2 linked regions of the Rhinolophus ferrumequinum genome follow. The protein of the gene in region 1 binds, or shares a complex with, the protein of each later gene. Links are inferred from orthologs where the notes say so. Each region holds a gene or a part of one and is shown in the gene's direction. Other genes may lie near its edges.

What was found. Proteins that work in one complex are often made in the same cells at the same time.
Region 2: the proteins of NRXN1 (region 1) and LRRTM2 are in contact, whole or in part, in a crystal structure (PDB 5Z8Y), measured with the Homo sapiens proteins. The link is inferred for Rhinolophus ferrumequinum from reciprocal best matches to the Homo sapiens genes NRXN1 and LRRTM2. Residues at the interface, in NP_001317021.1 of Homo sapiens: Leu139, Val158, Thr160, Arg236, Gln237, Leu238, Thr239, Ile240, Asn242; in NP_056379.1 of Homo sapiens: Asp343, His344, Gln346, Gly347, Glu348, Leu351, Asp352, Ala353, Gly356, Phe357.

The regions. Positions count from the first base shown.
Region 1 is NC_046296.1:35,475,911-35,479,666, forward strand, and holds the start of NRXN1 (neurexin-1), read left to right. Parts: upstream 1-1,567; 5' UTR 1,568-1,699; intron 1,700-3,756.
Region 2 is NC_046307.1:13,815,709-13,819,464, reverse strand, and holds the start of LRRTM2 (leucine-rich repeat transmembrane neuronal protein 2), read left to right. Parts: upstream 1-1,458; 5' UTR 1,459-2,072; coding exon of another isoform or gene 2,073-2,098; coding exon 2,099-2,102; intron 2,103-2,443; coding exon 2,444-3,756. UniProt on the Homo sapiens protein: Involved in the development and maintenance of excitatory synapses in the vertebrate nervous system. Regulates surface expression of AMPA receptors and instructs the development of functional glutamate release sites.

The DNA.
Region 1 (3,756 bases):
AGAGAGAACAGTGCAGAGAATCAGTGATATGGAGGGAAGGAGGGGTGATATGGAGCCTATGAATAGATACGTGAACAGAAGTGCGCCTCTGTGTCATCCATGGATGACAGTGCACTCATGGAACTTGTTGTCTTGTGTTGGTTACGTAGGCCAAAATTTAAATGTTTTAGTTTCAGGAAGGAAAGTAATAAGTAATTGATGCTGGTAATACAAAAATTGAGAACAAGCCCTTTCTGTACTTTCTGGTAGGTACATTTCTAGAGCAGGAGTGCTGTTATATATACAGCCAGATGATTACTAGTCTGGCTCTGTATGTTAGCTCTCATGCCCATAAGGACACTTATGGACATAGGCTATAACATAAACCAGAAACTCCCCAGAAAAAGCACCAGAGAGAAATCCAAACTACAATTTTTGCTCAGCCACTACTCTTGTTATTAGTCGTGCTATTTCATTATTTTGCTGTTTATAACATAGGGAAGAGTAGTCATATGTTCCTCTGCATTTGGAGGCTAATTGGGAAATGAGAGAGCTCCTTGGAAGACGGGCTCGTCCCACCAAATTACTACACCAAAACCTTATATATAGTACATATACTGGGGATGCCAAAAAATGTACACATTTTAGGAGATGTTACCTATGTATTACTTTTCAAAGTTGAATTAAGTACAGTAGCAATGTATAGCATGACATTCGCTCAAAAGATGGCATTGATCAAATGAATGCTAGCGTCATTCATTGTATTACAATTTGAAAACAGTTTTTTCCTTTCTTAAAATGTGTCTATATTTTTTTGGCACCCTCTGTATATATCACAAACAGAAGGATTATCACCCAGTGGTACTCAGGTTTAGGATACAACAGAATTTTATGGGGCGGGGGTGAAAGTTAAAAATTCAATTTCTGGGCTTCTTTCTTATAAAATTCCAATCCATTTCACTATTGGACTGGCCCAGGAATCTGAATTTTATTGAACAGCCAAGGTGATTTCAATATGTGTAGTTCCTGGAACATGATTATCATAAACACTAATAAGCTGACACGATATGAAAAGAGGTAAAAATTAGAAAACCTACATTAATTTTTCATGAGATTATAAAAAAAAAATAATGCTCTCATTGTAAGAATCTGTAGGTTTATTTATAAGCATATGGACCTATTACACATTGTATAATTTATTGAATGTAATTCTTACTCAGTTATAATATTTTTAAATGTAAAATAGTTGACATGATAAATTTCCCACGAGGTAAATAAAATTAAAGTCTCAATCACCTAAGCATAGCATTCACCAATTCTTGTCATTTTTAGCATATCAAATATATTCTAATCTAAATTTCCAAACTGCATAATCTAATAAAAGTCACTTGCTGTGAAAGTCCCATGAAAACTTAAAGAGATATAAAAATGCCAAGTCTTTTTAAATTTTTTTTGGCATTGTTTTGAATAGAACCAGGCGCAGTCTCTGGCCATTTTTTTTTACCACATAGTTCCCGTTAGCACACTTTCCTCTGCCAACAGATACAAGCAATAGTGAATAGCTGTCAGTCTACCCAACTGTTTTTCCAAGAATAGTTCTCGGACAACAGGCAACAGAATCACTTAGTATTTGTTATAAAATACAGATTCCTAGACCCTCCCTTACACATATTCACCCAGAATCTGGTTCAAGACGGGTGCATGATGATCATGGATATCTGTAAGTAAATAATGTTCAGTTTTAGAGTTTGAGATGCTCTGCATAAAGATGTTAAATCCTCTCATGAAGTACAACTGAGAGGGAAAAAATTAGGTAGCTTGAATTTCCACTGTATTTTCTGAAACTGTTAACATCTTTCAATAGTGTCAAAGGAAAGCCTCCGATGCAGGACCAAGGCTGGGGTAAGCTGAATGAGGCACTTGCCTTGGGTGTAAAAATTCAGGGGTGATTACATGATAGAAAATAAATAATAAAAGCAGGATACAATGCTGTGTCAAGCCACACTGAAACTGAAGTAAAATAATACTTAAATAAATTAAAATTCCATAGTATTTACATTTTCATTTTTTTGTTCACCATGGATATTTTGGGATTGATTTTATTTTTTAATAGTACACTAAAATATTGTTCATCTTGATAACTGAGTTTTTCAGGGCCCCACCCCCTTAATTTTTGGACCAAAGACAAATATCTCACCCTAGTTCTGGCTCTACTTCTCGGCGCTGTGCTGAATGAAGTTGCCCCAGTTATTTTAAAGTATATGGACATCCAAACATGATAAGTTTTTTCCCTCCATTACATCTCCTGGGTAAATATGTTTCTGCTTACAGGTAGTACCAATCATGTACACCAAAATAATCAGGTCTGTTATGTTTTCCTAAAATAAACTTACATTTTCCGAGATTAAGTGCCCTAATATATTTGATTTGGTTAATATATTTTTTAAAATTAACTAGCTAATGTACTAAAAATGAAACGAGGTAGGGAGGAGGATGCGTAAAGAAAAAAATCATACTGAACTGGAATGCCTGTGTCCAGGTTTGGGAATAAAGTGAAAAATACTGTGTTGATTAAATAATAGTTTTCCTCAAAGACTAATACTTTATTTTTTGGTTATTATTTTGTTCTATTTTATTGTTATTATTATATTTTTTTATGAAAGAGTTTCTCTAAAGAAAATACTTTTGAAGTCCCATGACCAAAAAGAAACCCAAGCCAAGTATTTGATTGCTTACTAAGTACTTGTTGTGACATGTTATTCATAGAAGCAGATTTTGTCATACTGGTTCTTTCACTATTGCAGAGTTTCACTATTGTCTTCATTAGACTAAAACAGCTTGTTTAAAACCTACACATTGCAGGGCTCTTTTGAAAATTGTTCAAACCTGGCATAGATTTGAGAAATAAAAAATAATAAGAAATCTGAAATATAAACTTAATGTTAGCCTTTTGGTCACAGTTAAAGGAGCCAGGGTTTGGTTAATTGTGGAAGTGGAAAAGTGGACCGATGACAGCAAAACATGTTGGTGATAATTTCTTAAAAGGCTTCAAAAGAAAAAGAGCAAATGTAGATGAACACAATTACCACTGGAGATGTTCACCAATATGTTAATAGAGAGTATCTCTGGAAACATGACTCAGGTGCTTTTAATGTCCCGTAACGTGCATTGTTTAATTCTTTTTCTATGAGATTGTTTTGCCTGTATACAAAATATCCTCATAGTTGTCACTTTCAAAAATGCATTCACATCCTAATGTTAGTGGGGAAGTTTTGGGGTTGGGACCTAAAGGGTATTTTTATTTTATTTTTATTTTTTGTATTTTTTGTATTATAAGGATTATGAGGCCCTGAATTGCATCAGTTTTATATAGTAGAATTTTCAAACACATTGCACATTGAAATTGATACTTTATTAAAGTGGTTATATTATTGTCCTATACAATGGTGGAGAATAGAGCAGGAAGACTATTTGAGGTCATTTTAACTTCACAGTTCTTTATTTGAAACGCTTTTTCAAAAAATGAAAGAGTACTACAGTAAACTTTCAAGACTTTTGCTGGTTCCATTAAGTTGCTGCATGAATGGGGTTCTCCAACCCAATTCCAACATGGAGGACGAGTTCCCCCGACACCAACAAACAATTATTGAACATAAATAGGGTATCAAAGAATTCAATGCAATTTTGACATTATTTACCTGGAAGCAGAATCAGATTCCCCAGGTTAAGAGCCCTCGCTCACCTTCAACACACACACACACACACACACACACACAC
Region 2 (3,756 bases), on another chromosome or scaffold:
GGTCCTCAGGGTATTCCTGCTGTCTCCTCTCTTCCTTTATACTCGCCAGGCATTTCCCCCAGTAAAACTCATACCTCTAATCCCATCTGGGGGTCTGCTTCTAGAAGGACTCAAACTATACACCTGCAGTTGCTGCCATTCACAGCACCTTCACACAGGATCCCGGGGAAGAGACCTTGATTTCCTGCAGTCCTCACGCTAGTGCCACACTCCAACACAGAAACTGTATCCCTGAAAACAATGACTTCTTAGACTTGCCCAGTGGAATAAAGCCCCTGGAAGCCAACAAGCCAAAGATGTTTCATAGAAACCATGGGTCGTTTTGAGATTTCTGCTTCCAGGTGCGAGACAAGACCCACCAAGGATAAGTACCAATGATATGAGAGAAAATGGCATGGAAGGCCACATCAATAAGGTACGATGTGTAAGAGGCCTTACCTTTGTCAGGCCTGAAAATATGACCCTGACTCATGCTAGAAATATCTGTCCCATTCATACAACACTAAACATGGAGCTGTACATTAATAACCAAGCTCTGAAAAGTGATGACACTATTCAACAGGGAGAAGACAGTTAGTTAGGTTAAGTACAAACAGCCAAAGCAAAAATCCTATTCCAAAGAAGTATGAGTAACCTTTTGTATGCACTAGAGAGAGTCCCACAACAGTACGAGACTCTGAGTCAGTTCTGAAGTGTGCGGTGTGACCTACTAGGTGTGCGAACAAATGCTCTGTTATTTGAGTCCCATAATGGCCCAATCCCAGCATCAGATGAGACTTTCAGTTGAAGGAATAGATGCGATTCTGAGGTCCATACAAGGGATTGTGTCAGAATTCAGCCACGCTGTATCACTTGCCCTAAATCATTTCTGTTCCACTGTTAATACTTAGGGAACGCGATACTAAATGATTCTATGAACCTACCCTTTTCTCCTAGTGACTGAAAAATCAGCATATTTTTTAATCAGCACTGTGATAAAACATTGTTATAAAATAGGACAAATCTATAAAATAGGAGAAATCTTTTAAATTAGAGTTTTCCTGAAATACTCAAAAGAGCAAAATAACCAAATGCTTTTTGCTTTGTGAGGTTTTTGGTTTTGGGTCCCCCCCCACCCCTTATTCTTGGTTTATGATGTTCGGCTCTTAAGGACAAAGAAGCCAAACCCACTTAATCTAATTTACCAACACACTGAAAGTAAATCGTAATCATACTTGTATTTTAACCAGGCATGACAACAAGGTGATTGAGTAGCTGCCCAAACTACCAGAGCAGCGGGCACTAACTTGCATAGACTGGCGTTAGATCAGCACTTCATAAATCGTGCAGGCTCCTGTCCATTTAGTGGATCTCTCTATGCAGACTCGGCAGGCTAACACTGGCTCTCGCAGCATTAAAAACCATCACTCTGCTAACTCAACTCACTGTTCAGACGGCCTTCTTGAATGCAGCCTTTATTACAACCTCACGGCTGCTCCCTTACTGAAGGAATACCATGTTTTTAAGTCAGGAGTTCTTCTTTCTCGCTTTATTGTAACTGGGGGTCTTACAACGACCCGCTACTGTTACAAAGCACAGTGCTTTATAACAGTAAAGCTTCTGGAAAACCCAAACAAAAGACACGTCACCCGGTGACGTCAGCCTATATACAGTTCTGTGTGGTCGCAGCACATAAGCAAATCCATTCTTGTGCCGTTTCTCGGAAAAGCTTTTCAGTAAATGCACTCATGCTGCTCCAGGAGCTCTTCTCTGCAACAAGCCGCCCATCTGCCATCAACAAGTTAAGACCGAGACAACTAACAGCTGCGGAAGGCAGAGACTGACGCTTTGATTAACCAGCTGAGCAGGGCGAAATTAATAACTTATATTCCGAACTGATTGAAGGGATCAGCGTGGTCACAGAAAATGTAACCAATGCTGTTGAGAGGAATATCCTAAGGAAAAAACAACTCACCCTGGTGGATTCAATTTTACTCAGAAAGCCTGGGACACAGAAAACAGGAAACTGGTGAAAGGCTCCAGCATGGAGCCTTTTACAGACTCACTGCGCTGAGTCTAACAACCACGACTGAATGCAGCCTCCAATGTGCTCAGAAGAATGGGTAAGTCCATGCATTTCTGTGTCTTGTACAGTCAGCAAGAAACCGTGCTTTTTAAAATAAGCCACTGAGTTCACCTTTTATGAGGGAAGTCACTGTCATTTTTTGGATTTTGAGCTTTAGGTAAAAGCATATATTGCTGATGACAGGACATGTTTTATCTTCTTTCTTAATGGTTTAAGTTTCGTTCCAGTCAGACTAACAAGGTTAGTTTTTCTGCAGCAAATGAAAAATAAGTGATATGCAGTGAAATCTTTCGCCATAATGTTTTTGTTTTTTAATGGCTCATACGTTTTGATGAAAAATATCCTATCTTCTTGTTTTCCTTAAATTATATTCTGCAGGCTTACATTTCAAGTGGCCATTCGGGGCCCCTATGCTGGCAGCAATATATGCAATGAGTATGGTTTTAAAAATGCTGCCTGCCCTGGGAATGGCGTGTCCACCCAAATGCCGCTGTGAGAAGCTGCTCTTCTACTGCGACTCTCAGGGCTTCCACTCGGTGCCAAACGCCACAGACAAGGGCTCCCTGGGCCTGTCCCTGAGGCACAATCACATCACAGAGCTCGAAAGGGATCAATTTGCCAGCTTCAGTCAACTTACCTGGCTCCACTTAGACCATAATCAAATTTCAACAATAAAAGAAGATGCTTTTCAAGGACTATATAAACTTAAGGAATTAATCTTAAGTTCCAACAAAATATTTTACTTGCCAAACACAACTTTTACCCAACTGATTAACCTGCAAAATTTGGACCTGTCTTTTAATCAGCTGTCATCTCTGCACCCAGAGCTCTTCTATGGCCTTCGGAAGCTGCAGACCTTGCATTTACGGTCCAACTCCCTGCGGACTATCCCAGTACGCCTATTCTGGGACTGTCGTAGTCTGGAGTTTCTGGATTTGAGCACAAACCGTTTGCGAAGTTTGGCTCGCAATGGATTTGCGGGATTAATCAAACTGAGAGAGCTTCACCTAGAGCACAACCAGCTGACGAAGATTAATTTTGCTCATTTCCTACGGCTAAGCAGTCTGCACACGCTCTTCTTACAATGGAACAAAATCAGCAACTTGACTTGTGGAATGGAGTGGACCTGGGGCACTTTAGAAAAGCTAGACCTGACTGGAAATGAAATCAAAGCCATTGACCTGACAGTGTTTGAAACGATGCCCAATCTTAAAATACTCCTCATGGATAACAACAAGTTAAACAGCCTCGATTCCAAGATCTTAAACTCCCTGAGATCCCTCACAACCGTTGGCCTCTCTGGCAATCTGTGGGAATGCAGCCCTCGAATATGTGCTTTGGCCTCCTGGCTGGGCAGTTTCCAAGGTCGGTGGGAACATTCCATCCTGTGCCACAGTCCTGACCACACCCAAGGAGAGGACATACTAGATGCAGTCCATGGATTTCAGCTCTGCTGGAATTTATCAACCACTGTCACAGCCATGGCTACAACTTATAGAGATCCAACCACTGAATATACAAAAAGAATAAGCTCCTCAAGTTACCATGTGGGAGACAAAGAAATCCCAACTACTGCAGGCATAGCAGTTACTACTGAAGAACACTTTCCCGAACCAGACAATGCCATCTTCACTCAGCGGGTAATTACGGGAACAATGGCTTTGTTGTTTTCTTTCTTTTTTATTATTTTT